Linked DNA regions of Xenopus tropicalis. The protein of the gene in region 5 interacts with the protein of the main gene of each other region in a pairwise test. Links are inferred from orthologs where the notes say so. Each region holds a gene or a part of one and is shown on either strand. Other genes may lie near its edges. The genes, in order: rnf208, exd3, smap2, hip1, dazap2, plekhb2 and tnip3.

Region 1 (3,875 bases), on a different chromosome or scaffold from region 5:
TTAGTCTTCCCTGCTTTAGTTATACCATGTGACACATACAGACAGAATGCTGGGTAAGTGGGCGGGGCCTGGGGCAAATAGACTGAGTACATAAGGACAGACGGGGCTGTAGATCTATATAAGGGAATGTGTGTGGGTGCAGTTTGTGCGCAGGAAAGGGTGGGGGTGACAGAGTGTGGCCCCCGCAGCAGCTTCCTGAGCGCTCGGTATTGTGCGAGTCGGGCAGGAAGTGACTGAAGCGGCTGCACTGTCAGATGGAAACCATTGTGGCAGCGGCAGCACCCACTCACCCCCCCCCAGCTCTTCTATAGGTCCCTGGGGTCACCCAGCAGCACCCACATATGTGAGAAAGAAATGAAAGGTGGTTCCCCCCCCACACACAAGCCCCCCTCTAATTGCCCTGGGGGCTTTATTTTATATTCCCCCACTTATGGGAGGCGGCAGTGTAATGGGACCCATGTCCCTATGTACTTTTCTGTCCTTCAGGCCATTGGCTGGGTTGCGGTTCATGGTCACGGGGGGGGGGGGGGGGGGGGGGGGGGGGGGCAGTGGCCCTTGGAATATACCACCAGTGGTTCCATGGGGGGGGGGTTACACCCGGGACTGTGTACCCAGAATTCCCTCACATAAGCTAATAATCATAGCAATGGGGGGCGCTGTAACGTGTGGCTCTATGGGGCCCATTGGCTCTGGGCTGGAAGTGGTGGGACCCGGTACTGCAGCCAATCACAGACACACGTTCCCAGTACCGACAGAGGCCAAATCCCAATAGCACAGCATTCCCAGGGACTGTGATAGGACTGGGGGAGAAAGCTCCGGGTACAACACTGCGGGGGGGCTGTATCCTTATTATTATCAGCTGGGGGCTACATGAAAGTTTGGAGCAAATAATAGACCGGGTCGGTTCTGTGTTGGAGCCGTTTATGTAACTGACAGGGGCACAATCACCTGGGCCGGATGGCACCCCCACAATCCCGCCCCCCATACACACAATGCGCCATTTGGTACCCAATAACCCTTCCTCTGCCCGAGGGGCCCCAGATGCGTCGCTCAGCAACGGCCCCCGGGGGTCCCTCCGGCAGCTGGAAGCCCAAGTGGCCCTTTCCGGCAATAAGTTAAAATATATCATTTCTGTGCATTTCAGTCAGCGAATCAGAACAAAGCTTTGGCAAAAGAAACTATTTGGGCAGAGAGTGACGGGTTCCCTTCTGGTTGGGCCCCTGGGGGGGCGTTGGTGCCAGCTGGTGGTTCCGTTGTGCTTGGTCTCTGCGCTGGCGATGCCGGTCCAACCAGATTGGGGGTGGGAGGAGCCACAGAGAGATGGAGAACCCACACACCGAGATGCAAGTAGAACCCAACTGGGCCATCGCTATGATATGGAACTGCAGAGTCGGGATTGGGCGCCCCACTTATATATATATATAAATATCCAGTTCCCCAGGGGCCCGGCCAGCAGTACCAGGCTACATGATGGTGCAGGAAGACAGCGGGTTCCGGATGTGGCAGGTACAGGCCGCCCCGCAGTACTGGCGGAAGGTCTGGTAGCAACTGCGGTCGGTGTCGCTGCTCCACTGCACCTGATTGGCCGACAGGGCCTCGGTCGGCAGCCGGTTGAGGATGCTGGTGTTGACCGCCAGGGCGGCCAGGCCATAGTCAGTGAAGAGCACGGTCTCCCGCTTGCAGGTGGGGCAGGAGATGAACTTGTACTTGGGGCAGGACTCGTAGAGGATCTGGAGGCACTCCTCGCACACGGAATGGAGGCAGGACAGGATCCGGGGGCGCTTGTTGGTGAAGTTGTACATGTGCCCGCAGGTGGGGCATTCCAGGGGCTCGCAGGGGGTGGAGGGGTGCAGCACGTACTGGTTGACGATGACTTCATCCGAAGGGGTCTTACGGTGGTAACAGATCTCGGCGCTCGGCTTCCGTTGCCCCGGGTAGATCTTCTCCCTCCGCGGAGGCGGCGGTGTCCTGGTCGGAAGCCCCAAGGCGTTGGGGGCGGGTTCCAGGGCGGGCATGTCCCCGCAGGCCTGGTTGACGATGATCTCCGAGTCCGAGGGCCAGGCCCGCTTGGCAACCAGCGGGGGTTCCCTCCGAGACGGGGGGCCGTACCGAGGCTGAGAGTTCTGGCACTCGGAGAACTTCTCGGCCTGGATGATCTTCATGGCCTCCATCTTGATGATGACCTGTTGCCCCTTCAGACAAGACATAAGGATCTTTTTCACATTACTGTCCGCAACTTTGTTTTCTCCCAGCGCCCCCTGCATGTGGCTGGAGTTGTGATGCCCCCCCAACACCTAGAAATCCGGCACCGGCACCGCTGGGATCGAGGAGGAACCAGCAGAGCGAGAGAACCTGGTGCAGATGACCATGACCACTTCTACGGGCCAATCGGGTCCCACTGGGGGGTCAGTTCCTGCGTGACATCCCCTCCAATTGTCAATATGCGAATGAATGGAATTATTCCCGGGTCCAAGTGCTCTCGGAGAGATGATGGAAAGGTCTCTGGGCCTGGAGGTTCTGGAGCGAAGGGGGAACCGATGCAGACATCTCACAAAGCAACAGTTGCGCTGAGGAAAGTAAAGACCCCACCCCGAGGGCAAATGCACCTCCCCAAGTGCTATTCCTCTTTACATGGGAGGCCGGGAAGTCCCCTGTGCTGACACTTCACTCTCTCTCCAACTGGCAGGTCCACTAAGTTCTGAGGGATGAGGGACCGGCTCATTGGGAACCACATTATCTGAGCATCCTGCAGAGCAGTCCAAGGCTAGGAGTTAGGTCTACTGAAGAAGCCAACTGTAATCCCAATGGCCTTACTAGAACCCAAGCATGAAGACCAACTGTAGTCCCAATGACCCTGCTAGAACCCAAGGATGACGACCAACTGTAGTCCCAATGGCCCTGCTAGAACCCAAGGATGAAGACCAACTGTAGTCCCAATGGCCCTGCTAGAACCCAAGGATGAAGACCAACTGTAGTCCCAATGGCCTTCTTAGAACCCAAGGATGAAGACCAACTGTAGTCCCAATGGCCTTCTTAGAACCCAAGGATGAAGACCAACTGTAGTCCCAATGGCCTTGCTAGAACCCAAAGATGAAGACCAATTGTAGTCCCAATGTCCTTGCAAGAACCCAAGGATGAAGACCAACTTTAGTCACAATGGACTTGCTTAAACCCAAGGATGGCGACCCAATGGGCTTGCTAGATCCCAAGGAAGGTGTGAAGGACCAATTATAGTCCTGAAGGCCTTGTCTTGGCTACTTGGTGGCTCCCACTGGTCCGTTCAGCACAGATTTGCTTCCCTGGTAGGAGTCGTTACCTGTAGGACAGAAGAGAGACAGGTGAGCAGCTCTGAGAGTGAGACCGCACAGTGTCTCATTAGACTGCAAGCTAATGGCCAAGGCTGTCTATGGTAATAATGAAATGACTAGAAGGTTCCTAGTGGATCGGTTCCTGGTAGTGCCCCAGTACTTTGCCTGGTGTAGAGTCCGGGGCGGGCAGCTCATCATATCACACATTCTTCTCTTCCCAAGTGCCCCCCCTGCCCCCCATTCTGTGTGGGTATTGGACCCACTAGTGGGAAACATAAGGACCCCCCCAGCCATAGAGGGATCTCTCAGAGCACAGTAAGGAGGGAGAGTAAAACCCCATGGGTCGGTGCTGTTCTTCCCTACATAATGAGTACAGGCTGGCAGGCTGGGCATTCTATGGGCACTGCCACCCCCCCGGCCATGGGTGAATGGGGAATGAAGGGGAATTGGGAGGCAAAGTGACGACCCAACAAAGAAACATGGCTGATCCCTGCAGTTCTATTGTTCTACATACAGCCCCCACTGCCCCCCCCACATACACGCACCTCTACATAAAGCCCCCCCACA
Region 2 (4,092 bases), on a different chromosome or scaffold from region 5:
TAGCCCCAGCCTGGTGGCCATAATGGCTGCCTGCGGGACAGGAGAGATTGGTTAAAGCTTATTGGCCCTTACAGAGAGAGTCACATGACATACACTGTGGCTGTAGCCATTCTGTACAGGGGCCACAGAGCCCACTCTCTATTCCGGGGAACCCCAGACTAGTAATTATACTTGTGGAAGCCCCAATGCTGCCCTTGGCTCATACCAATGGAACAGCGCCCACTAGTGGCCAAGGTACCAAGAAACCAATTTCCTGTGCCCAGAGCATGCCATTACGGATGGGGCCACACTTGCAATGTAGCCTCCCCCCCCACAGCCAACTAGGGCAATCCCATGTGACGTGGGGTCCCAATCAACCTCACTTATGCCAAACACGTTCACAGTCACCCTAGATAGGAGGGGGGACCCCAAGACGTGAAGGGGCCATTAATTTGCCAGCCCCCTGAACTAATCAGAACTGACAGGGCCCTGAATGCGGGGAGGCAGTGAGGCGTGCACTGACTGCCAGACGAGCCCTCTGTATGGGTGACAATGGCTCCCCCCCCCCTCGGCCGGTGACAAGAGCGGCCATTGTCCTCTCCCCCCGCCACTCTGCCTTTTGGAGTGCAGGAGGGCCCTATTCAGCCACAGACACTCTTTCAATAGGGCCTGGAGTGTAACATAAGACGTGCGTGAAACCCTAGCCGGCCCGCTGGAAGCCGGCCCCCGTCAATGCCACCTTTGATTGCCGCTGCTTCTTTCATGAAACAAAGCAAAAAGGGGCAGAGACTGAAGTAAAAAGGGAAAAGTGGCAGTTAGCGTGGCGGCCATGTTGGATTTGCAGTCTGGCTATTCAGAGCGGGAAGGAGTTAATAAACACTATAGGGTCAATATGTAAAGGGTTTTATCATTTATACTGGAGGGATGGAGATTTCGCCATCAGCAAAGAAGAGCCAATCACCTCTTTGTATTTGCCGCTGCGGTGCAGGTGGGTGACCTGGCCCAATAGGAAGGCTCGGTCGGCCTCCGCGATCCGGTACATGTCGCTCAGCAGGTCCAAGAGTTGCCCTTCCGAGACCAGGCTCAGCGCGCGGCCCTGGAGCTTCCTCAGCCGCAGGCCGGACTGCGCAGGGGAGACCGTCCAATGGGATTAAACAACAGATAAACCAATCAGATCATGGGCAACTTTAAATAATGAATAAGACCAATTGAAAAGTTGCTTAGAATAGGCCATTGTATAACATAATAAGCGTTAGCTTATGGGGCCCTCCGACAGGCCCTGCCCCTGACCAATATCTGGCCTCAAATTGGGCAGATGTTGATTGGACAGGCTTGAGTTTTGGCCGGATCAGGGGCCGCATTGGCTCATTTATGATTGGGCAACCTTGCCAAACGAGCCAATCTTACTGGTTACGCCCACCTTTACCTGCCGTGCGTCCGGATTGGCCTTCAGCCACTGCTGGAACTCGTTAGCAATTAAAACCGCCAGCGAGTTGCCTTTCCCCTTCCAGGTACTGGTGACCTCCAGCAGGTCCAGCAGCGCCACTAGCGGCTCCTCCAGCGTCGAGATCAGCTGACCAACCACCTGGCGGATCTGTTGGACCATAACGGATAATATTATTATTATTATATACAGATTCTGGGGCTTGCCCTTTCCCAGTCTTGGCTTGAATATCTCCTTAAAGGGCCGGTTCACATTTAACTTCTAATATGTTATAGATTGGCCAATTCCTAGCGACTTTGCAATTGGTCTTCACTTCACTATTTTGCACCATTTCTGAATTACTTGCCTTGTTCTTCTGACTCAGATGGGGGTCACTGACCCCGGCAATCAAACCCTATTGCTCTGTGAGGCTCCAGTTTTATTGTTATTGTTACTTTTTATTCCTTATCTTTCTATTCAGCCCCTCCCCTATTCATATACCAGCCTCTCATTCAAACCCCTCCCTGGTTGCTAAGGTAATTGGAGCCCTAGCAACAGGATAACCGACCCCAGCAGCCAAAATCTATTGCTCTGTGAGGCTCCAGTTTTATTGTTATTGTTACTTTTTATTCCTTATCTTTCTATTCAGGCCCCTCCCCAATTTATATTGCAGTTTCTCATTCAAATCATGGCGTGGTTGCTAAGGTATATCAGACCCTAGCAACCAGGTTGCTACTGAAATTCCAAGCTGAGCAAAAAACTAAATACCACAAGATATAAAAAATGAAGACCAATTGCAAATTGTTTTGGAATATCAATATCTACAGCATATTAATGGTTAATTTTGCAGTTTCTCAATCAAAACCCTGCCTGGTTGCTAAGGTATATAAGACCCTAGCAACCAGGTTGCTGCTGAAATACCAAGTTGAGGAACAAAAAAAAACTAAATAACTGAAAAACCATAAAATATAAAAAATGAAGACCAATTGCAAATTGTCTTAGAATATCAATAGCTACAGCATAGTAACGGTTAATTAAAAGGTGCACCTCTCCCTTCCTGGGGGGGGGGGGACAGTAGATCTCACCTGTAAAACATCTTTCTTGGCCCAAAGGCTCTGCAGGGAGCTTAGGATCTCGGAGTGATCTTGCTCTGCAAGGGACCAATCACAAACCACGTAAGTAAATGCCTTTGTAGGTAAGGGCAGAATGTACCTGCGCAAAGATGGCCGCCGCTGTGCGAGTCCCCCAGCATGCACCTTCCTTCCTGGCACTGTGGGAAATAACAGGAGAAGCGAAAGGGGCTGGGGGGCGCCCCCAGGGGGATGCTGGGATTCCCTCGCTGACCTCCAGCTCTCGGAATGTGACCGGCCCAGAGACGGAACATTAGAAGGGATGATCTTTAGCCCCGGGGCGGGTCGGGGGGGGGGGGGGGGCGGGTTCAGGGGGGGGGGAAAAATTATATTTTACCCAGTTTTTGATTTTTCCTGCCCTATAGACCTTGCTCAGTGCATATCTGAGGAGCCAATAGAATCCCAGGATTACCGAGTGACCCCGCCCCCCCAGTACCAGAATCCCATTCACTCACCTGTATGGTTCATGTCTGACATCTCTCAGATCCGATGGGGCCTCCGACCCAATGCCGGTACTGAAACAGCACATAATCATTATTATTATATAGCGCCCACATATTCCCCCTGCGGTACAGTGAGCTTACACTCTAATGTCCCTATCCCATTCCCATCAGTCCCTGCCCCAGTGAGCTTACACTCTAATGTCCCTATCCCATTCCCATCAGCCCCTGCCCCAGTGAGCTTACAATCTAATGTCCCTATCCCATTCCCATCAGCCCCTGCCCCAGTGAGCTTACACTCTACGGCCCCTATCCCATTCCCATCAGTCCCTGCCCCAGTGAGCTTACACTCTAAGGTCCCTATCCCATTCCCATCAGCCCCTGCCCCAGTGAGCTTACAATCTAAGATCCCTATCACATTCCCATCAGTCCCTGCCCCAGTGAGCTTACAATCTAAGGTCCCTATCCCATTCCCATCAGCCCCTGCCCCAGTGAGCTTACAATCTAAGGTCCCTATCACATTCCCATCAGTCCCTGCCCCAGTGAGCTTACAATCTAAGGTCCCTATCCCATTCCCATCAGTCCCTGCCCCAGTGAGCTTACACTCTAATGTCCCTATCCCACTCCCATCAGTCCCTGCCCCAGTGAGCTTACACTCTAAGGTCCCTATCCCACTCCCATCAGCCCCTGCCCCAGTGAGCTTACAATCTAATGTCCCTATCCCACTCCCATCAGCCCCTGCCCCAGTGAGCTTACACTCTAATGCCCCTATCCCATTCCCATCAGCCCCTGCCCCAGTGAGCTTTCACTCTAATGTCCCTATCCCACTCCCATCAGCCCCTGCCCCAGTGAGCTTACAATCTAATGTCCCTATCCCACTCCCATCAGCCCCTGCCCCAGTGAGCTTACACTCTAATGCCCCTATCCCATTCCCATCAGCCCCTGCCCCAGTGAGCTTACAATCTAAGGTCCCTATCCCATTCCCATCAGTCCCTGCCCCAGTGAGCTTACAATCTAAGGTCCCTATCCCATTCCCATCAGTCCCTGCCCCAGTGAGCTTACACTCTAAGGTCCCTATCCCATTCCCATCAGCCCCTGCCCCAGTGAGCTTACAATCTAA
Region 3 (4,864 bases), about 54 Mb from region 5:
AAAACATTGCTAGCCAGCCCTGGGCCCCCCAAAACATTTGTGGTCCTCCCCCAAATTACTCATACTATGGCCCACTCCCCGCTGCTTCCTTCCGCATCCTTAAGCTCCCCCCCAGCATCCTCCTGCTTCCCCCAGGCCCCCCCCAAGCATCCTCCTGCTCCCCCCAGGGCCCCCCCCAAGCATCCTCCTGCTTCCCCCAGGGCACCCCCAGCATCCTCCTGCTTCCCTCAGGGCACACCCAGCATCCTCCTGCTTCCCCCAAGGCCCCCCCAAGCATCCTTCAGGGCCCCCCAAACGTCCTCCAGCTCCCCCTTCCCTTCCCCCCAAGCATCCTTCAGGGTCCCCAAGCGTCCTCCAGCTCCCCCCTTCCCTCCCCCCCAAGCATCCTTCAGGGTCCCCAAGCGTCCTCCGGGTCCCCAAGCGTCCTCCAGCTCACCCCAGCGGCCTCCTGCTTTCTTCCGCTCCTGTGGTGTCCTCTGCTATGTCCCGCAGCTCCCGCTACTTCTGTGCTTTTATAAGGTTGCGTCCCATGCGTGTGATGTCAGTACGCACAGGCGCAACCATATAAAAGCGCAGAAGTAGCAGGGAGCCGCGGGACAAAGCGGAGCACGCCATAAAGGGTAGGGCCCGGACTTGATTAAAGGGGGCCCGAGCTAAGGAAACTCTAGCGCGGCTGGGCCCCCTTTAAAGTTAAAAATGCCCGGGCCCGGGACGATCGTACCCCCTGTGCCCCCCTGATGGCGGCCCTGGTAGTGCCCATACACATGCCGCTTAGCTGCCAAATCGGTCTAAGGCAGGGCTCAGGAACCTTATTGGCTGAGAGAGCCATAAACACCACATATTTTAAAATGTAATTCCGTGAGAGCCATACAATGGCCAACGGGAGCTAGGCCGAAGGCCGCGGATGCTGTGGGGCAAGGTAGGGTGGGTGTCATCTTTAGCTGTTCAATATGGCTTGTAGCCCCAACAGAGACATACTGGCCACATTTTATTTTCAATTCAAGCGTGACAGGTTTCTGCTCCAATGTCCCTCTCAGTTCCCTGGGCCCTGGTTCAAGTGCAACCCGGTAAGGATGCCGGACGCGGAGGAGGGCGTGGCCTGTGCTTGGCGGATAGAAGATGTGTTCTAAGGCATAGAACATGTCTTCTATCCGCTAAGCGCAGGCCACGCTTCACGTTATTTTTTTTTATTAAAGATTTGGCAGGGAGCCAGATGCAGCCATCAAAAGAGCCACATCTGGCTCCCGAGCCGTAGGTTCCCTACCCCTGGTCTAAGGGACCAATATCGGCAGCTAGAATCGGTCCGTGTATGGGGACCTTAAGTCGCTCCGTGGGTGCTTAACCTAAATATATCACTTTTGTGATAAGCCGGGGTGTGGGCCCTTGAAGTGCCAATGTGTCACACTTATGGGCAGATTTATTATCCAGTGTAAAAATGGCAACACATTGCCAGGCTTCTCCACATAAAAAAATGGTGTAATTTTTTTGTTTTTTTTTTCCTTATAGCAACTGTCCACTAAAACTTACTTATACAAGGTCTAAATTGGTGGAAGATAACAGCATAAAATCTGGCATTCAACTGGTGTAAAATAAAACACACTTTTATATTATACAGCTTTTGACAGTTTTTGTAGCGAAAATTATTTTACACAGCATTATAAATTGGCCCCTTAACGCGCAAAAGGAATGCAAAATCCTCAAGTGCCAAAGTCGGAATTACAAAGTAGAGTGAGTTTTTGAAGAATATATTTTAGAGAAATGAGGCTATGCATCCTCTCGTAGCAAATGAGGAGTGGGAGAGGATAGGCGCGTTGTTACGAGTCATTCTCTTGTGACCTAGCCACCAGCACCCACAACCAAGAACACATTCCCTTTCACTCGCATATGAGTCAGAGCCCATTCATACCTTTTCCTCCGGGGGCGTGACTAGCTGTAGCCGCTCGATTGGTTTAAACTACAGGACAGCGTGACGTACTTCTAAACATGGGTAGGAGGCGGAGACCAGGAAACAGGAAGTGAAAGTGAGGAGCCGCACCGAAGAGGCCATCTTACTGTCTCCCGGGAACATGACCGGGAAGTCGGTTCGTGATGTGGAGCGGTACCAGGCAGTGCTCTCCGAGCTTCTTTTGCGAGAGGAGAACAAGTTTTGCGCTGACTGTCTGGCTAAAGGTAACCGGCTACCCGTTTATAGTAGTGACCTTTAGCGATGGAACTCCCTATCCCTTCCCTATCAGATGTGCCAACCGGCTTTTGTCGTGAGGAGATGATTTCCCCTTTTGTTAAACGTATGATTATATTTCTGTTCATAAATCTGCATTGATGTCAAGCGTTGTCAACCCCAGTGTTATCATCTTCAATGGCCAGGTGCTAAAAAATCTATGGGCAGATTCGTATGACTTAGAACTGTCTCCTGGTCAGTATTAGGCTGGCACATTCTAAGCATTAGTTCCCAAAGCAGTTTAGCTGTTGGTAACCAAATTGTACTGAACAAGCTCTGATGTGATCATTTGGCAGCTTCTGTATACCTGGATCAGGCAGGTAGCCCATTCATCCATTCTGGTGATTACAATTTACACTTGCCTGTAGGACTGAACGAATGGGAACTACACGAATTTGAGCAGATTCCCAACACAATTTGTTTTGTTCAGATCAGACATGTAAATGTTGTTTTGTCAAAAAATTGACCCGCATTTTGTGCCATTATAGTTTCCGGTATAATTTTATTAATATTCAGATCGTACCATTGTATCCGGTAGCTCTTTACAGGTAAGGGCTTACAGCTACTAGGCACTACAAATACAACAATGTACAAATAGATGTGAGGCGTGGTTGTATTGGAAGATTACCCCAATGTTTGTGTGAAAATCTTTGTAGTTCTAAAGCTAACCTTACGTCTTCTGTGCAGTTCATGTTTTATTTCTTTGCAACACAGATGGAACAGTAAATGGGTAGTAAATAGGACCTTCTGTGCTGCTGATTGATGTAAACATGCATACACACACCTATGTAACCTATGCAGATCCTACTAATGTGGCAAGGCTTGAAATGCTTATAGTGTGGAAACCTATGCTTGGATTGTGATTAACATTTCTTGTTGTTCATCTCCTAATAGATAATGGCTCTATACTGTTGCAGTCATATTAAGAAAGTTTATTGCATTATAAGGTGCTAATTTAAGTGACTGTGAAAAAGGTTTTTATTTGCCTTATCTACTTATGGACTAGGGGACACAATTTGGCCTATAAATATCATATTTTGATCCACTGTTTACTTATCAACTCGGTATGCAAAGTTGTAACCCATCATGTTGGATGCCAGAGGGAAAGGTAGGTTATAGCTACCTATAATTGTATATAAATACCTGTTATGTGTACACAAATCAGGTGTTTTGTGTTGACAGTGTACACATACAGTGTGCATTATGCATTAGTGTAAGGTCATCTTTAACCAGAGCAAACAGTAATAGCTGTTTTTATTCAACAGTACAGAATAAGGGTCAGTAGAGCAGAGATTCTTCAGTTATTTTGTTTGTCATTTTGTGTATTTGCTGCTTCCATTTTTTGATTATAACAGTAAGATATTTTTAGATATTGTTAGAGCAGATATTGTGGTGATATGTATTTCTAGCATATTTTGCTTTCAAAATTCCTGGAATAGTTGCTGGTCCGTATTCCTTACCCTTTCATTGACATAGATTAGAAATGAGGAAGTAATTTAACCTGATGCGTATTTAATTGCGCCATACGATAGTTTTCTCCTACTGCTTTGAAATTAATTAGTTATATATTTAGCTGTTTCAAAGTCACAGTATTAAGCAGCCATAGAAACTGTTACTGTGCTGTTGCATATAAACTCTTAAGCTGTTACTGGGGCCCTGAAATGCTTTTCCATAAAATTAAAACTCTTGTTTTATGCATTCTTTTACATTTATCAGAACGGTTTCTTCTGTTGACACAGGCTATTATGTCGCTAAGGGCATGGGTTCCCCATCTGTGGGGCTGGCTATTCTGCAGGAAGGAGGGTAAAGTTTGGGGTGATTGCTCATGCTCTAGATATGCTAAATCTTTTTGAAATCATTCCTTATCCATAGGTGAATAAACTTGTATGTATCAGTCCTTCTCTATCCACAATGACTGTAGTGAGAAGTTAGTGCAAATAGATTTCACACTTTGTGTGTCTTTTTAATAGGCAGAATAAACTTTCAGCACAAACTTCTCTAATGGGTTAACGTTGAACACATATCAAATTATAGGTTAACATTATAATATATATTAAAACTTACCTATAGAGACGAAACATCTACCATCATAACATTTATTACTATGCTTATTATGTTTCTACATTTGTGGTACAGGTATGGGACCCGTTATCCAGAATGCTCGGGACCGAGGGTATTCCGGATAAGGGGTCTTTCTGTAATTTGGATCTCCATACCTTAAGTCTACTAAACAATCAATAAAACATTAATTAAACCCAATAGGATTGTTTTACATCCAATAAGGATTATCTATATTTTATTTGGGATCAAGTACAAGGTACTGTTTTGTTACTACAGAGAAAAAGAAAATCAGTTTTAAAATTCTGAATTATTAGATTAAAATGGAGTCTATGGGAGACGGGCTTTCTGTAATTCTGAGCTTTCTGGATAACTGGTTTCCGGATAAGGGATCCCATACCTGTATTACTTTTCTAAGGGCTATGCAAAGTAGACTTGAAGAAAGTTTAAAATACAAAATTGTATCCTTAGTGGCACACCATATAAGCTGTACGGGTATGGGATCCATTATCCAGAATGCTTGGGACCTGGGGCTTTTCGTAATTCGGATCTCATACCTAAAGTCTGCTTAAACATTATATAAACAGC
Region 4 (4,756 bases), about 94 Mb from region 5:
AGGCGGAGCAGACAATAACTTTAACTTTCCTAGATGTCACTGCAATTCTCACTTTCCCCCTCCCTCCTCACACTGTAGGCAGTGTATGAGTATGGGCCTCTGGTCCTCCATTGTATCAAATAAACCAGATTTTGGCATGATGCAAAGCTTGTCATAATAACAGTATCCACAAAATGGTGCCTGCCTGCTTGTTATAATAGTGTAATTACAAGACTAAAGGAAACAAGATTTTTAAATTTTATATAGTGTAAGTGAAGTTTATTTTGCTCAACTAACATGGTAGAAATACATTTGGAAATATTTCTGAGGTGACAGATCCCCTTTAAAATGGACTGGACTAAAATAGGAGAAAGTCTATGGGAGATAGATAATGGGCTTCTGGATACGGGATCCTTTCCTGTACTAGCAAATTATGAATGCAGAAAATGTTTCGCAGTTTTGGATACCATTGCATTGCCATATTCCTCCTAATACTTTAGCCACGTCCAGGATGAATTTACTATTATTATTTATTTTTAAAGCACCAACATACTAAACAGCACTTTACGGAGTTTATGCATCATTTACATCAGTCCCTGCCACAGTACGTCATTAGAGAAATTAATGATTCTACTTGGTACATGAATAACCAAGTATATATCCTTGAAGATACCATTGTATTATGTTTGAATTTAATGCATCATTTTAGAAATGTGTTCAGCAAAATTATCAAACCTGACAAATACTGCAAGGATGAAAATAACCAGAAGTCAGTAAAATATAAAGTCCCGATTCCTTGTTTCTATTCCTTGTTTCAGGTTAGTACCCCTCCCAGGTTTTAGTACATACAGCAGTCTTGTGTGCTATGACAGCATGGCTGGATCCTAAATTTATTGTAAATCAGCCCACCAGTAAAACAGACTAGGTGACTGAATACAATTTTCGAATACAATTTATTATTATTATGTTTTATAAAGGGCCAATATATTCTGCATTACTTTACAATAGAATGAGGGATACATTAAACACACAAAGTATATACATCAATGATTCAGTAAAGATGGCCATGCTTATATAGAGTATATAATTAAACAATGTTAAATTTAATACATTCATTTACTAATTCAACATATATATAGCCTAATCGTAGAAAAATAGAACTAGCCCAGGCAGATAAAAGGGAGAGTAGTAATATGCAACCTGTAACCCACATGGTGGGATGCTGAAAGTTGTAGTCCACAAATTCTAGAGAACCACAAGTTAGTAGGCAAATATTTGCTGTACCCTGAAATATGTATGCTACTGAAACGCAACATGCTTCACTTCAAGTGATGTTACTCTTATATTAGAACATTATAACACCTTTAAAATGAAGCCACAAACAGAAAAGCTATATTATATTTCTTGTTGCTACATAAACAGATCCAAGAGGACCAGTTTTTTTGTAAGGTCCTCTGCAGCCAATCAAACAATAATGTATATTTTTAAATACATATATATATGTATCATATGATCAGTGATCAGTGTACACGTTTATCTTTGTTATTGTCAACCATTATGCAAAGTTACATTTAACAAAGCTGCGTAAAAGACATGACTAGACCAATTAACTGACCCATTAACTGATATATACGTATATAAAATGGCTCCAATTATAAGTAGGTCTTATGGTAGCACACTAGCTTTGCCAGTCTATAAGGGTGAATGTTAAGAGGTATCATGGAGTAAGTTTTGGGTCACACTCACCATTTTCCCAGCATCCATGATTTCTGAAAATTCCCTTGGAAGTTGGTAAGAAACCCCTCAGGCTGACAGATTGCCTGTTGCTGCAGACTTAAGTGCCCGAAATAGTAATGATTGGTTAACAAGGTGATTGAAGCAACATGGTGACCCTGTGTGAGGTACAATAAAAACACAAAGAAGAGGCATAATGTGAATTAGGAACAACTTGCAAACTAAGCTGTAGCAAAAGGCTAGGGAGAGTTATAAACTAATAGGACAGGCTTGAAAAAAACCCAGTCTGGAAGTCTATGGCATGAAGGCAGCACAAACCTGAGCAGGCAGGCTGAGCAAAAAGAGGACAGAGTTGGATGGGCTGGTTAGAACAGGCATATTTGGGTGGGCAGGTTGTGCAAACAGATTTGGATTGGCGGGTTAGGACAGGCTGGTTGACATAGACAGAAGTGGGCAGGCAGGAAGGACAGACAGACCTAGACAGACTGGTTGATACAGGCAGAAGTTGACAGGCACGTTGGACAGATGGACCAAGGCAGGCTGGCTGGTATAGACAGAAGATGGCAGGCAGGCTAAAAAGACAGACCAGAGAAGGGTGTTGGGGTAGACAGAAGTGGGCAGGCAGATTTAGGCATACAGGCAAAGGGATAGTTATGAAGTGAAGGGGTATACAGAGAATGTTAGAGATTTCCAGAGAGAGCAGGGTACTCACTGGCTGTGTTTATCCCAAATCCAGAGAATGCCAATGCAATGGGCAGGCGGAAAGGCAGTGATGGAAAGTGGGGGTGGGCACAGATTGGTGCGGACAGAGCCCAGGGCCAGCCACACAAAAGCATCCAGCAACAAGACACGGACAGATGGCACAGGGAGCAGCAGCAGTCACCCAGATAAGCCAGGGGAGAGGGAGGGGACGGTGTGAGTGTATAGGGCACAGGGAGCGATGCAGGACACACTCAGCACTACTGGGCACAAGCAGCAGCACACTCCCACAGAGGGAGCGAAGCGCACTAGCCAGCATGCAATAACACTACTTGCACAATAGGCAGGGCAGGGATGGAGAGGCAGGGAAAGAGCACAGTACATTTAGGGTTACCAGACGTCTGCGAAGATCCAGCTTTTCCCTTCTTTTCAAAAACAAGTATCCGGCTGGAATTTCTTTACTATTAAATTAAGAGCGTAAATTTGCCCTCAGTCCCTAACTTCTGCAGCTTCCCACCCCTCCCCTTTCTCCATCAATCAATGTATTTTCCCTCAGTGAGCTTCTGCAGCTTTCTGTACCTCCCACCCCCCCATCCTCTGGTGCCTGTTACTGTCTGTTCCGCCTCCTCCATTCACGCTGCTGAGGCATCAGAAGCTCTGCAACAGCAGCCAATAGGCTCGAAGCTGTGCCCAAGCGCACTCTGATTGGCTGAGGGATGCTCCATTCGCAGGCGCGGGAATATGTAGCGGACAGCTGGCAATGTTTGCTAGGGGTGCAAGAGGGAAGCTGAAGATTTTCTTTAAAGCATTGGCAATTATAGGATAAAACAGGGAAATGTTACTGTCTCTGAGAGGTTAGAACACAAAAATGCTGGGCGCAGTAAACACACTGTTACTGATGTGAGCCCTGACCTTGTGAGGACTCTGGATAAACACTACTTGGACAGAATATTTGAGTGGGTTTTATCTTACTGCGGTGTTAATAGCCGTTAACAATGTCTTCCACAATATTCCATATTAAGACTTTATTACTCAAACGTTGTTTAAAGAAGAGTGAATGATTATTTTTCACTGATTGTTTTCTTTATACTATTTAAATTACTTCAAATTTAGATTTTCTCAACCTGCCATACATTGGCTGCATTTTTTGCCTCTTCATGGAGTGTGCATTAAAATCTAAACTAGCAATAAATACTCTCCAAAAATCCATAGGCATTGTTTCTATATCTATAGTCATCAATAAATCCAGCCCTTGGACAAATATTAGCACTTCCCCCCAAGTCAAGTGATGTACAGAGCACATTTGTTGCATTTCCAAAGGTTTTTAATCATTTGATTTGACATTTATTAAGTTTCTTCATTTTCCAAATCATCCCTCCTCTGACCTAGTCTAACAGTGTTGCTTAGCATTATCTTTTATGGAGATTGTGCCACATTGCAGTTACACAGCTAGAAAGTGCCATTGTCACCTCTGATTCACTTATTTATGTGAATGAGAGGGTGCAGTAGCAGATTTTAGCTAAAATATCACTTGTTTTTTTCCCATTGCTTTATTCCCAGAATATTTGAGACTTTTAGTTTTTTTGCATATGGTTTCTTTTGATAGAGAAAGATAGAGAGACTGATGTAATTAGTAACAGGAGATACTAAACTTTTGTCCACAGAGAAGTCAGCTGTTGACAAACTGGATAGAATTATGTAAATTATGGGGGGTTGGGTTGGACATATGCTGTATTTGGGGCAGAGAGCTCAAATGCTGATGAACTAAAAAGATGTACTCAGAGTTTAACTGAGGTAGAGCGAGGGCAGAGGCTTGTGAATAGAGGAGAGATGCAAAGACTGTTGCTAGAGGGGGCTATATTAATGTGGTAGTCACTTGTTTACAACTGGTCTGCTACATAAATAATATCTGGCACTATTAATATGTAGCAGGAACTACTAGTTTATTTACTAGCAGCTTATATTCTGAAACAAAATACTCCCTTTCTTTTTTTTTTTTTTTTTTTTTTTTTTTAACTTTTTTATTGAAAATGATAGTTGTATAACAATTTCGTCACCATTGTGTAGTATTACATTTGGTACATCAATAAACTGTTCATTTGTTAACTATACATATTTGGTATGTTTCATACTTTAAATGGGGAAGGGGGCATGGGGGGTGGGGAGGAAGGGAAAAGGTAAGGGAGGGGGGTGAGAGGTGGGCAAGTCGGGATCTTGCTTTTTCAGGGTCCCGGCTTGCTGGGGAGTGAAAGGTGGAAAACAAAACTTGGAATGGTGGGGAAAAAACTGGTGTTATAACAAAACATTATATCAAGTTGATCCTGTTGGGAGGCTTCTGTATTCT
Region 5 (4,699 bases):
CCTGTATATTGCTTGAGCGCATGAGTCCTATTTTGTTTATAGAGCCATGAAAGATATTTAAAATATTATATGTCATCCATTGGTTCCTTCCCCAATGGAGCTTACAATTGTAGGTAACACATACATTAACACTACTGCCAATAAGCTGCCTATGTGCTTTAAAGAAGTCAATATGGCAGCTGAACCCAAAAGCTGCCAAACTCCACCTATATGACCCTGGTTTTAAAAATTTAGATCATCTTCAGTTCCCATAAAAATGCAGCTAATCTAGGGTTGTGAGGAAAGTAAAGTTGCTTAGATATTTGTCTGAATTCCATGGTTTGTTTCAAAGATTTATATTAATATCATAATTATCACAAGATTGCATAACAGAAAAAAATTAGTTTTCACACAAACAGAAATTTTGACAACTGCAAAATTTGGGAAAACTGGAGATAAATATTAATATACCAATTAAAATTCAATTTGGCTTATAATCAGACTCATCTAATCAATTTGACTTGGGATTTGGGAGATGATGGAAAACAATATTTAATCAGCCTAAAGGAAACACAGAGAATCCAATAGTCTTTATAGTCTGCATATGTTTGTGTTGTATTGCTTACCTACCAAGGTTACCAAAATCCTTCAATGATATTCTGGCCTCTGAGTAACTATTTGAACTTTTCAGGTCAGTCACTCAGAGGCCATCATTAAAGAATGCTAGACTTCATGCTTAAAGATTTTGTGGTGTACTTTTTATTTCTAAATTACACTGTTTAGCAAATAATTCACTCTGCCATTTAAAATTTTATTCTTGGATCAACATGTATTTTTTTTAGTTGTAATTCTGGTGTGTAGGCGCCATCTCAGTGCATAGTGTCTCAGTCTGAGCTTTCAGAAGGAGCCAGCGCTACGCATTAGAACTGCTTTCAGGTAACCTATTGTTTCTCATACTCCCATGTAACTGGAGGGGGCCCAACCCGGACTTGGATTTCTTACTATTGAGTGCTATTCTGATACCAACTGGGAGCTGCTATCTTGCTCCCTTCCCATTGTTCTGCTGATCAGCTGCTGGGAGGGGGGTGATATCACTCCAACTTGCAGCTCATTAAGAATATGGCTAGCTCATGGGTGACCAGACCTTTTCCGTCTGTGATCGACGATGACCGGGGAATGCGGAAGTGCAGCGTGAATGCGTACTGCTGCCTCCAGGCATGCCCAGAAGGCTCTCCAGGTCAACTACAGGTAGTCGAATTGAAGAGAGAACTGAACAGGAAGTGGGGGCGGGGCTTTACTCTGCACAAGGAAGCAAAGAAAAACTATCAACTTCTAACTGAGGAACCAGGTCAGAAAGAATGCTGGGACAAAGGTAGGTAATTCTGGAGGCTGTTTAGAGTAATTTTACTGATAGAAAAAAAAGGTTTACTTATTCTTTAACCTAAAGTTATGAACAAAGTAGCACTCTAATTTGCTCAGCAGAAATAATCAAAGATAAAAAGACAAAATACTATTCTTTACCCATAACAAGTTCAAAATAGGCAGAACATTTTTGGTTCTAGACTAGAACAATAAAATCAAAAGCACTGTAAAACTTCAAGTCTCAAGTATGAGATTCTCAAGAATGTCACTCTGAATAGGCAGAAACATTGGGAAGACCTTGAGAATCATTAGAGAACAACCCCCTCTGCAATGAAAAAGTTAAACAAGTATTATGACATTCTTTCATAAAGTCATCCATATAATAATTTATTTGATGCAATCTCCTCTTTTTGCTGCTAAAATGGGCGAGGAATTCCTCTTTGTTAAAACTGCAAATTGTTTTTGCACCTTATCAAATGTATATTTATGAAGCTATTCTGAAGGAGAAGGAAGCTCAACACCCCAAGCAGTGAAGCGATATGGAGTGGCTGATATTTGTCCATGCACAGGTGTGCAGCAGCATTAAATTGGGCACAGTTCCACAATGACAATCTGTGATTCTGGCAAATGCCAGAGGGGCTGCTGTAAGATACCATAGACCAGGAGTCCCCAGCCTTTTTTAAAAGTGAGCCACATTCAAATATAAAAAGAGTAGGGGAGCAACACAAGCACTATGGCTATTTGGTAGTCTCTATGTGGACTGGCAACCTACAGGAGGCTCTGTTTTTTTATGCAATCCAAATTTGACTTCAATCCAAAAATATGCACCTGCTTTGATGCCACTGGAAGCAACAGGGAAGGGGATGGGGAGCAACATGCTGTATGTGAGCCTCTGGGGATCACTGATATAGACAGGCACTATTTATTGGGGGTTGTGTAGGGGGGCTGTTTGGGCCTCTGTGTATTTAAAAAGCCAGGGCCTGGTTTAAATCCCAGTCCAAGTCTGATTAGACAATGTTTCCAGTGCAGTACTAAACTCTACTACAAATGTACTTTGTTACTGGATTACTGCTCTTCAGTAGCAGAGTTCTTGTTAATTCAAGAGTGCCATGCACAAATACCATCAGCCTGAAGCCTGGCATGGTTGATGATAGATTGGTAAATATAGGTTGTAAGTGCTGGATTTACTTGGATGGGTTGGACTTGATGGACTCTGGTGTTTTTTCAACCCTATGTAACTATGGTACTATAGTTGCCGACTGGCCTACTTAGTGATCCATTTGCCACTAAATCCTTTATAAAGCGCTGGAATGGAAGGCAAATGACACGTCCGATGTTCCTTAGCGAGGCACATACACAAGGAGTTACACAATCCCTGCCTTACACGGTCAGAGCGGTGCGCACACAAGCAGGACGGAGCCGGAGCTGGTTACCAAGGTATAAACGTATTCTATAATACGTCCGAATTCCTAATATTTATATATATATATTCACTCGCTCAGTGACTAATAGAGCCCGCCCCTAGAATATACCCACCCAAACCATATACTTCCTAATAATAATAAGCAGAGGGACTCGGTTATAGAGTAAGTCCCAGCAGGGCCCCAAATCACTGGTATCAGTGACATCATAACGCCTTGCAGCAGCAGCAGCTCCGCCAGGTCGCAGTCTCAATCCCAAGGTGCATCCTGATCAGGACAAACAGCCCTAGCAAGCGCAAAGCACAGTGAAGTTGCCGCTGAGCTCCGGAGGGGCCATTACTTGCCTTTATTATTCATTGCCCCGGGTTCACGTCTCTTGCTCGATCTGTATTTTCTCTGTGTTGTTGTGGGAGATGATTCCACTTCCGCTTCTATCTACTTCCTTGTTGTGTTTTTTCACTCTACGCAGATACGAAAGCGCATTCCTGCTGAGCAGCGCCCCCTACCTGCACTTTCATTTTGCGCGGCTTTATTGCAGGCTGCAGCTTTTGGCTTGCCTAAACACGCATTTTGCTTTTCATAGACCCAAGGAATGGTACAACTTATGGTTATAATTAGCCCATTAGGTAACATAGTAGCTGCTTTACTGGAAATGAGTAAAATTTTCTTGCTTTTGTATCAACAGATTTTTACCATTTTGTATTAACACTGGTCTAGGATATCAATTTAGCTCTTTCCCTGTTGTCCAGGTTATGGGCTGTTTGTAAAAAAATTGCATTGTTGGGGAATGCATTTTTCTTGTAAACGTAGGTGCTATGTCATTGGTTGGCTGACACGTTTCTTTTCAGGTAAAGGGAAAGGCTTATGTCCCACGGAGTGGTTTAGTCGCCCACAATAGATCTGTGTTATCGCGGGTGACTGCCCTCTACGAAATGCCTATCCACCAGCCACGCCGGTAGAAAGCCATTGCTTGCATTGCTTCAGTTTTCATAAGTCACACAAAGATGCCTGCTGGAGGAAACTTTGTATGACTTTGGAATACCAAAGCCATGTGAAGGGCTTTTCACAAGCAACTCCTATTGTTGCCAGTGGAAATGCATTTTGGAACAGTTAGTTGCCTGCGATAGCAGAGATCTATTGCAGGTGACTAAACCGCTCAGTGGAACATCAGCCTTAGTCACTAGAGTCAATATATTAATATTACATGCATGCAGTATATAATGGAATTGGTATACATTGGGTAATGTAATAAAGGATGCAAAGTTCATCTGGGTCAATTAACCCATAGCAACCAGTCGGATTCTTGATTTTATATAGCTGACCAGTAAATTCTATCTGCTGATTGGTTGCAGTGGGTCACTAACCTAAAGCAAATTTCGCACCTTTTATTATATTGACCCCTTAACACCCAGATACTGACCCTCACTACTCTATGCTACTATTGGACCTGACAGGAACTGTAGCCCATGCAGTGCTAGAACCTAACTCACAACTCTCCTGTAATTTCTGTGTGTTTCCTTCTTATCATCACCTTTGCAAATAACCCCAATGCACTGGCCTTATTGGCTGGGACTTCTCTCCCCCAGCTGAAAAATTTTTACGTAACAAAGGTGTCTAGGAGCAGCACCTGCTGTAAAAATTGTGAATTTTTTTAAGGTTATTATTTTTCACCTTCACCTACTTAATTTATATTGAGAAAAAATACCCCTTATTGTAAAGGGATATTATAAGTCACTGAAGAGTTTCAATACTATGTAAAGGCACAATATTGCAAGAGCATCTTCCCTTTTGAATCAGTTTTGACTAACAGGAGGAGTCAGAAGTCAGGGGAAGATGGTGCCTCTGAGCTTGGAGGGGGAGCAGTGAAGGATGGCTGAAAATGGGTTAGGGTTTTTTTCTACTTTAAGACAAGTGCAGGTTAGAGCTGAGGGGAAGGC
Region 6 (4,589 bases), on a different chromosome or scaffold from region 5:
TGTAGCTGTATTCCAGCATATAAAAATGGTATTTACTCATACTTTTTGACGTAACAGATTACAGTGATAGGTATACATGGTTTGTTGCACTCGGGTCCTTATAGGCCTATGTCAGGTGGTTTGGACACTTTTATAACAGAATCATTTGTTAGTAATGGATGAGCTTTTGTTTTACGTGCTATTTCCAGCTAATATGCAACTGAACAGATGTAGCGAGATATATGAAGGGCTGGAAGTTAAAAGAAGGGTTTGTATCGGCATGGAGGTGACACACAGGCAAACGGAATTCCTGTGGCAGATAGAAAGATGCAGCTTGCACCAATTTGTTGTCTCTGGTGCAGGTCTTATGTTGACACTGTGCCAACCATGCCATTATTTACAGTAAAGGTTACACTGCTGTGAGCCCCAGCTAGGACCTACAAAAGAGCACTAAGACTTTGGGCTTAGTGTGACAGGGCAGAACATCCATGTAGCCCTTAGGGCAGCCTTTTTATCGCAGGGAACCCAAAATAATTAGTAGAATCAGCTTTTCAACTGCAAACTTACAAACAATATCATTTAATTGCTACTTTCTATTGTGAGAAGAAACTTCACATTATCCAGCGGGACCATGGAGACCTATTTTTGCGTCCTGCTCCATCAAATAAGGATCCCATATATATCTATTTACATATATAGCTGACATTCGTAATAGGTAGGGAGAAGACACACGGGGTGATTAGTTGCGACAACTTGTATACTAGTGTTAGTTGTGGCAACTGATCACCCCATGTATCTTCGCCCTATGAGTACACCCCCATATTTAGGGTTGGCACCTTTTTCTATCTGGCCTTTGGGTTGGGGGTGGGGTTGTGACTTCATTTTGGGGCAGGGCTATGATGTAAGGGGTGGGTGGTGGGTAAATGGGCTGGCTGGGTGGAGGGAAAAGTGGATGGGGCCCAGAAATTGGTGGGGTAATAGGCGGGGCAGAGGGGTGACCTGTGGTTATAAAGGGTGATTAGCAGCAGAGAGGGTCAGCGAAGGGAGGAATTTATAGGGCATTATACAAGTGTAAATAAATTTGAAATACCAGTGCTGGCCCTACCGGGTGATTTACCGGCCACGCAAGTCAGATACCAGCCAGGTGGCAACCCTACCCATATTGCTTGTGTAAGTTTACTTACCTGCGCATCAGTGCATTAGTCCCTTGTAAGAACCCTTAGGTTAGTCTCTTTATTTGAACACTATATTAGTCATCATTAACTAAAGGTAGTCCATTTAACTCCAGCACAACTCTGCCTATGCTATAGAAGCAAGACCTAACTAAAATTTCCTGATGTCTATTCCAATTACCTTGCAAAAATAAATAAATGAATAAACTCTTCTAAGACAATCATGTCAGTATTCAGCAGATCAGCATTATTCCCATGGGTGGCAACAGCATTAAGTAAACTCAGGGCTTGTTCTCATCCAGAAACAAACATATCCATATTATCTGTGGCTTCGTTATCCCACTGCCTTTCTACCTGCTCCTTCTGTTCCGCATTAATAACACATCATACCTCATAGTCTGCAAACATATTCACTGCAGCATGAACAGCAAACTCGCAGCCGAGGAGCCTCATCTTCCCCATCATGAGAAAGAGAAAGAGAGGAAGGGTACGAGTGCTTGCATTTATATCTATATGTATGTTTTTTTGCTATAGTTGTTATCTATGTATTCTGTGCACAAGGAAAATAGTTTATGACAATTAGAAACCACGTTCCAAATGTAAATAAGCCCTTTTCTTTTCTGCTTCTTACAACTTTTGTGTAGTGTCCATTTAGCTTGTTCCAATAAAGTGTGTACATGTTCAAACTGTAGTCAGAAATGACAAAAATTTGTGTAATGCATCAAAGTCAATGGGCTTTTTTTTTTGCAGCTACAGTGTACTGCACAGCTTTTTTTTGCAGCCATTGCAGTCTACGGGTGATCTTTCGTAACAAAACCTGGTTAAAATTTTCGCTCATCACTTGTTCAAAGTACAGGGCAGAATGGCACAAGGGGACTCTGTAATGCCAGGCTTCCTTTAGCAGTTTGTGCCAACGTAACAACTGACTTCTGTACAGTCAATCACACACTAATGGTATTATGGATTATGTGCATTAGAATTTTGTCATTTAGATTTTTATTGATTTTATGGAACAGAAAAAAGGAAATCAACAAATCAGCAATATAGAATGTTATTTTTCATCATAAACATGGTGTGAGCTTGTGAGCTTGTTGTGCTGTTGTTTTGCCATCTCCTTGGGTATTTTTATTGGGTGGTGCATTAGAATTTACACCATTTACACCAGCACTGCTGAGCCCACTAGTGTATGCTTTTTAACTTGTTTCCGCCACATGAAGTTACAATTCTGCTGGGAAACACAGCATTGTGGGTATAAACATGGTGATTTGCGTCCGATTACACATTGAGCACATAAGGCTACTGTAGTAAATGAACCCTCTAGTTTAACCTTATATATTTTTGCAGATGTTTACTCTAACAGTAATAATAATAATAATAATAATAATAATAAAACAACATCGGCATATGTTGTTTTTTGTGGTTTGGTGTAATTGGCCAGTTTTGTCAGGGTAAGTTGTGTTGTTTTCTGTAAGTGTGCAGTAGCACTTTACATTGAGTTCATAGGTTGCAACAAGCACTCTCCCCCCAGTTAGCACATTTGCCAATTGTGATTGGCTGATACAATGTTGAAATGTACCACAGCCTCAGAACATCACTCTCAACAACATACTAAAAGTTAATTTAAAGGTGAACTATCCGTTTAATAATGATTGAAGTCCCTCTTTGTTTAATTTATGAAATATAACTCAAATGGACTGAGGCTGTATGACGAGAAGGACTCGTTTAGTTGTGGCATTGGATGCATTACATTAATACACAATATATTCCCTAAGGAGTTCCTTTAATTTACATTTTGTTTTTCACTGGGAATCACCTGCTTCTGGGGGAAAATATAGCTCATTAAGCAATGATTACACAAGCGGAACTGCCTGCAAAGTTGTGATTCAGTGTAAAAGTGCCATTGCTTGCCCTGTTTGTTTCTTAAAGTGCGTAGCAACATAGGCCCTTGGGCTTTCTGTAGCACAGGAACTCTACTAGTGCCTGGATGTGTGCTGTGCTATCCTATAGTTCAACAGAACCCTTACATACTGCTATACTGTGCCTTACACTTATATAGGGAAGCATGGTGTGTACTCTCAAGGTACAGGAACATGGTGGTTTTCAGTGCCTTTGCCATACTGTGTAGTTTCTATGCATTCTATAGCAACAAACAATGCTTATTCTGACTCAACTCATGTTTCCCTGCAGGTTTGTACCAACAAACACCAATACTGAACACTTTAACTATAGGTTTCTTTCAGTTTTTATTGCACTACTGACATTGCATGACAAATACATTTCTAACTATCACATGCTTGAATCCTTAGTGTCACAGCCTTAGATAATATTAATGTTGAAATGGCCTTTAAAAAGAGGGAATAGGAAAAATACAGGTATGGGGATCTGTTATCCAGAAACACGTTATCCAGAAAGCTCCGAATTACGGGACAGCCATCACCCTTAATTAAATAATTGAAACTTTGAAAAAATTATTTTAATTTTCGCTGTACATGTATGGGATCTGTAATCCAGAATCCCATTATCCAGAAAGGATACAGGAAGGCCATCTCTCATAGACTCAATTTTAATCAAATAATTCTAATTTTTTCAAAATGATTCCCTTTTCTCTGAAATAATAAAACAGTACATTGCACTTTGTCTAAATACATAGTTAATCCTTACTGGGGACAAAACAATCCCATTGAGTTTATTTAATTTTTACATTATTTATTAGTAGACTTAAGGTATGGAAATCCAAATTATGGAAATACCTCTCTTTTGGAAAACACCAGTACCCAGAATTCTGGATAACAGGTCCCATAATTGTTATAAAGCAATACCTTGCATTCTGGATAACAGGTCCCATAACTGTAATAATAAAATGGTACCTTGCATTCTGGATAACAAGTCCCTTACCTGTATTAGTAGCACACTGCAGTACAGGTATAGGATCCATTATCTGGAAACCCATTTTCAAGAAAGCTCAGAATAACGGGAAGGCCATCTCCCATAGACTTAAAAAGGCATTTTCTCTGTAATAATAAACAGAACATTGTACATTAGCCTAGCTAAGATATATTTAATACTTACTGGAGGCAAACAGTCCTGTTGGGTTTAATTAATGTAAATGTTCCATACGTGTATAACCAGCAGGGCTAACAATATGAATTGTGTATCTAAGCACAATAAAAGTTACGATCCAATATTCTGGGAATTGAAATTCTTGCACTACTGTGTTTAAACATTGGAAAACCCAGAGCTTAAACAACAATCTCATTCATTCTTCTGGGATTTCTGTAAACACTGGGGAATAGCAGACTTTGCTGTTATGGCAATAATAGTGTAGCCTCTGAAGATGAGTAAAGATGTTTTGCTTCCAAAATAAGGGGCAAAGATTACATTCTAAATAACATAGCAGAATAACGTCTGAGTCCATCAAGTTCAGCATTCTGCTACTGA
Region 7 (4,092 bases), on a different chromosome or scaffold from region 5:
AGTGACACGTTTACAAAGCCGTGTAAGAACTGGTGCAAGTTAAATGGAATTGTAATGAATTAACACAATGCATCACAGTAGTGTAAATTATCTATTATAAAGAACCAATAGCAATATTTATAAGAAGTGATTATGTATGCCAAACTAATGCCATAATGCACACAATCATATTACACCACCTTATACCTGGCATAACCTACTGAAACTACTGTAACAAATTCAGGCAGCAATGAAATTTCCAAAAGTGGTAAAAAGCCTCCACCTCTTTATACTCTAGATTAAAGACATAAAAACATAACACAGTTTTATAAAAATGTGGCTTTTCAAATACTTTTCTTTTGCACAGCTTTATAAATAAATGAAGCAGGCAGACCTGGAGTTGTGGTGAGGCCACAAAGGCCTGGGCCTAGGGCGGCAAGAATTAAGGGGTGGCCGCCCCGCCGCACAAAGTTGTGTTCCCATACGGAGCAATGGGGACTTATATTTGGTACAGGTATGGGACCTGTTATCCAGAATGCTCGGGACCTGAGGTTTTCCGGATAAGGAATCTTTCGGTAATTTGCATCTCCATAACGTAAGTCTACTAAAAATAATTTAAATATTTAATAATAGCTTTGCTTGCCTTCAGTAAGAATTAATTATATCTTAGTTGGGATCAAGTACAAGGTACTGTTTTATTATTACAGAAAAAAAGGAAATCATTTTTAAAAATTAGAATTATTAGCTTATAATGGAGTCTATAGGAGATGGCCTTTCCGTAATTTGGAACTTTCTGGATAATGGGTTTCTTGATAAGGGATCCCATACCTGTACTGTAAGGCCCAGTCCTGATATGGAACTTATTTTCCATCCCCTTATTACTTATCTAGAATGAAACCCTTTATCCAGAAAATTGCAATATATGGCACTGCCATATCCCATAGAGTCCTGTTTAAACAAGCATGTCTTAATTTTTTCCACATTTACCTTCTCTGTAATAGTTAGTCACTTGTACATGATGGTAACTAAGCTAGCATAAATCCAGAAATTCTATTTTTTTAATATTTAAATGATTTCTAGAAGCCTTGTGGGTGAGTGCCCAAGCTATGTTTAGATGCCGTATCCTGAAAACCCCAGGTCCCAAGCATTTCAGTTATATTTCTATACATAGACTTATTCATATTCATTTATAAACAGAGGCAGCCAGGGAATGCATGCCAGTAATATATGACTGCCGCCTAAACCTCCCTTACAGGCATTTACGCTGAAAATGAAAACAACAATGAAATAAATGTATTATGCAATTTAAAAAATGATGTTGTTATTTCAGTATGTAAAATCCTGTGAGCGCGGTTTCTCTGTTGTTTTTCAAAGATGACATGAAGAGAAGACTAAATGTTTCCATTTCTTCTGATTATATGTCATTTTAGGCTGGGTATGGATTGCTGCCTAGTGCAAGAGCAACGTGTTTCCTGAGGAAGTCTTTGTGGTTTACTGATACATTTTGCTTGGCAGCATTTTCAGTGACTTCTCTATAACTTTACAAAATGCATGTGCGTTGGTCAAATTGTGTGTTGTGCACTACGGAAATACATTCACAGAAACTGATTGGTGCACATTAGGTATTTTCATTGTATAAGCATCTGAAAAGAGCTGGAAATGTTCATGTTTTACTCTTATTAAAGCTACAGAACTCATCTTGAACAAAAGGTGCTTTATTGGACTCGCAAAAACCCATCTCTCCTTCCTGCTTCCTAACGGGGTAAAAGGACACAAATACTACTATTCTTTTGTATTTGTAATTCTTCTTATTATATATGCAGTATTATATTCCTATTACAGAGCTCCCCACAAGTTAATTGTTTAACAGGTTTATTTTTCTGTCTCTTATGAAAGTTGCCCTGTCAGACAGATACTGCTGGGTTCAAGTCCCTAGTCGGTTTGTCTACCGATCTTAACAATAAACATACATATACAGGACTCAGCACTCACAGGGTTTTACAAAAATAGCAAAAATATTCTTTAATGTGCAAAATCAACATTTCAGCCACATGTTTGGGACCTTTTGCTATTTTCTTAAAGCCCTGTGAGTGCTGAGTCCTGAGTTTCTTATATTGTACACTTGATTACCCTGCACCCAGGCAATATACATACTTGATTCCAACTAAGATCCGATTAATCCTTATGGAAGGCAAAACAGTCCTATTGAGTTTAATAATTAAATGATTTTTAACAGACTCAAAGTATGGTGATCTAAATTATGGAAAGACCCCTTATCTGGAAAAGCCAAGGTCCCAAGGCATTCTGGATAACAGGTCCCATACCTGTATATTTATTATATATATAATGCAAAAAACAGGGCACTCACAGTACATCAGTTAAACCTTACTAAATAATAAAGCATACAAACAGAAGATGTACCCTACCGGACTGCTGGGCTAACAAATACAAGGGGTCATTTATGACTGCAAGTACAGTTTTGGAGTTACTAAATTGGGCACATGAAAAATCCTATTGATTAAAGGCTCTTGCGTCAACATGTGCTCCTTGCACTTCTGTTGCGCTGAAATAACACGGAGCAGAGCACAAATCGCTCTCATGCCATATGCTGGAAATGACACTAACTTTCAGTGCCATTGTGACTGATTTGTGTCAAAGAGGTACAACTGTGTCAGCTGCATTTCTAGCAGGCGCAACTCCCTCTGGCAACTGCAATTACATTGGGATTATGGGGAAAAAAACATGGAGATGCGTCTGAAATTGCACTTTTCACACTGTAAGTAAATGACAACTAAAGACTGATATTTAGGCTGTTCCTTATATTTTCTACTCGGTTACACCTCTCTATCCTTCCTTTACTTCTGAATTACCTTTACAAACCTTTACTTTGCTCATCTCCCTTAGCACGTTCTTGCTCCCTTTCTGTTGTTATCTACTTCTGTCACTCTCCTTCCTTGTGCTCATCTAAATCAACTGCATTGGCATTCCTTTTTTATATTAATCCAGTCCTATTCCCTGTCCGTTTTACTGTATGTTACAGTATTATCAATAAACCCTGAAGACAGTTCTGTGCTGTAATGTAAAGTTATTAGTCACCTGATTAAGGCGGTTAATTTCATGCTTATATTGCTCCTTTTTCCTGCTGTACAAAGCATTTTGTTTCCTCAGCCAGTGATTTTCTTCTTTCATGTTAAGCAGCTCCACATTAAGAGTTTCTCCCTCTTTCTAGAACAAAAGTGCACTTATTGAATATGATACATCTGCATGCTTCATTTTAAAAGTAAGCTATTGGTTGGCAATATTTCAAGGCAAGATTTTTCTTTTGGAAACATCATAGAATAATATGTATTGATCTGTATATAGAGTTTAAAGTATCTATGTACTAAACCAACTTTCTGAGAGATGATGTGCTGTCAAGGATTAGCAAATATGAATTGACTGTTTGGTAATGAACCTTATGGCTGTACCCACTCTTATGATTGAAACCAAGCAAGAGGATAAAGTACAATCTACACCAATATGTTTCACAAACCATTTATTAAACAAGGAAAAAAGGATTCAAGAGAAGTTCAAACTGGGTTTTTTTCCTTTTGCAGTTCACATAAGCACAAGGGAGTGTGGCCCTTAACGCCTGCCTTTGTGTCTGACATTCTCTGTTTCTTGTACCCTCATTGATGTGCAAAGTAGGGCATGCCAGGGAAAGTTCAGCTCTTTATTTTGTGAGGTTATGGGCAAGGGGCCCAAATCGTAAAGGTGCAAAGTGTGTATATATCCTATTTTCAAAACAAATGTGTAGGAAGTAAGATTTGGAAACTATAGCATGTTTTTCCAATCATAATAATAACTGGACAAAAAAAAAAAAAAGTAACTCGACATAGCCATGATCAAGTAATAATATTGAGGGAATCTGAAAGGGTGATCCATATCTGTATTAGCTAGTTGTAATTTGGTTTTGATTCCAAGTCAAGTGTATATTTTGTGGTTCTGTAGAAATTCCTATGAGTCAGGATTCACTTCATTACAAACTTTGTTTCGGTGGGTATTTTAGCAGTCCACCTACTACATATACGTTCATTGTTTTATTTTTATGGCCCACAGTCTGCTCATAGTTCG

The links.
Region 1: the proteins of dazap2 (region 5) and rnf208 interact in binary tests that used the Homo sapiens proteins (3 or more experiments, as listed by UniProt). The two-hybrid records come from large-scale screens. The link is inferred for Xenopus tropicalis from reciprocal best matches to the Homo sapiens genes DAZAP2 and RNF208.
Region 2: the proteins of dazap2 (region 5) and exd3 interact in binary tests that used the Homo sapiens proteins (3 or more experiments, as listed by UniProt). The two-hybrid records come from large-scale screens. The link is inferred for Xenopus tropicalis from reciprocal best matches to the Homo sapiens genes DAZAP2 and EXD3.
Region 3: the proteins of dazap2 (region 5) and smap2 interact in binary tests that used the Homo sapiens proteins (3 or more experiments, as listed by UniProt). The two-hybrid records come from large-scale screens. The link is inferred for Xenopus tropicalis from reciprocal best matches to the Homo sapiens genes DAZAP2 and SMAP2.
Region 4: the proteins of dazap2 (region 5) and hip1 interact in binary tests that used the Homo sapiens proteins (3 or more experiments, as listed by UniProt). The two-hybrid records come from large-scale screens. The link is inferred for Xenopus tropicalis from reciprocal best matches to the Homo sapiens genes DAZAP2 and HIP1.
Region 6: the proteins of dazap2 (region 5) and plekhb2 interact in binary tests that used the Homo sapiens proteins (3 or more experiments, as listed by UniProt). The two-hybrid records come from large-scale screens. The link is inferred for Xenopus tropicalis from reciprocal best matches to the Homo sapiens genes DAZAP2 and PLEKHB2.
Region 7: the proteins of dazap2 (region 5) and tnip3 interact in binary tests that used the Homo sapiens proteins (3 or more experiments, as listed by UniProt). The two-hybrid records come from large-scale screens. The link is inferred for Xenopus tropicalis from reciprocal best matches to the Homo sapiens genes DAZAP2 and TNIP3.

What each region holds. Positions count from the first base shown.
Region 1 is NC_030684.2:1,807,664-1,811,538, forward strand, and holds rnf208 (RING finger protein 208), read right to left. Parts: upstream 2,286-3,875; 5' UTR 2,265-2,285; coding exon 1,464-2,264; 3' UTR 905-1,463; downstream 1-904.
Region 2 is NC_030684.2:2,932,735-2,936,826, forward strand, and holds part of exd3 (exonuclease mut-7 homolog), read right to left. Parts: intron 3,048-4,092; 5' UTR 3,010-3,047; coding exon 2,988-3,009; intron 2,553-2,987; coding exon 2,488-2,552; intron 1,574-2,487; coding exon 1,400-1,573; intron 1,103-1,399; coding exon 941-1,102; intron 31-940; coding exon 1-30. UniProt on the Homo sapiens protein: Possesses 3'-5' exoribonuclease activity. Required for 3'-end trimming of AGO1-bound miRNAs.
Region 3 is NC_030678.2:87,996,926-88,001,789, reverse strand, and holds the start of smap2 (stromal membrane-associated protein 2), read left to right. Parts: upstream 1-1,973; 5' UTR 1,974-2,066; coding exon 2,067-2,169; intron 2,170-4,864.
Region 4 is NC_030678.2:48,793,241-48,797,996, reverse strand, and holds the start of hip1 (huntingtin-interacting protein 1), read right to left. Parts: upstream 2,977-4,756; 5' UTR 2,807-2,976; exon of another isoform or gene 2,795-2,806; intron 2,772-2,794; exon of another isoform or gene 2,426-2,771; intron 2,403-2,425; exon of another isoform or gene 2,032-2,402; intron 1,872-2,031; 5' UTR 1,744-1,871; coding exon 1,726-1,743; intron 1-1,725. UniProt on the Homo sapiens protein: Plays a role in clathrin-mediated endocytosis and trafficking. Involved in regulating AMPA receptor trafficking in the central nervous system in an NMDA-dependent manner. Regulates presynaptic nerve terminal activity.
Region 5 is NC_030678.2:142,300,502-142,305,200, reverse strand, and holds the start of dazap2 (DAZ-associated protein 2), read right to left. Parts: upstream 3,157-4,699; 5' UTR 3,120-3,156; coding exon 3,107-3,119; intron 1-3,106. UniProt on the Homo sapiens protein: In unstressed cells, promotes SIAH1-mediated polyubiquitination and degradation of the serine/threonine-protein kinase HIPK2, probably by acting as a loading factor that potentiates complex formation between HIPK2 and ubiquitin ligase SIAH1.
Region 6 is NC_030681.2:126,782,110-126,786,698, reverse strand, and holds the start of plekhb2 (pleckstrin homology domain-containing family B member 2), read left to right. Parts: upstream 1-1,512; 5' UTR 1,513-1,571; coding exon of another isoform or gene 1,572-1,638; intron 1,639-4,589. UniProt on the Homo sapiens protein: Involved in retrograde transport of recycling endosomes.
Region 7 is NC_030677.2:71,470,204-71,474,295, forward strand, and holds part of tnip3 (TNFAIP3-interacting protein 3), read right to left. Parts: intron 3,205-4,092; coding exon 3,076-3,204; intron 1-3,075. UniProt on the Homo sapiens protein: Binds to zinc finger protein TNFAIP3 and inhibits NF-kappa-B activation induced by tumor necrosis factor, Toll-like receptor 4 (TLR4), interleukin-1 and 12-O-tetradecanoylphorbol-13-acetate.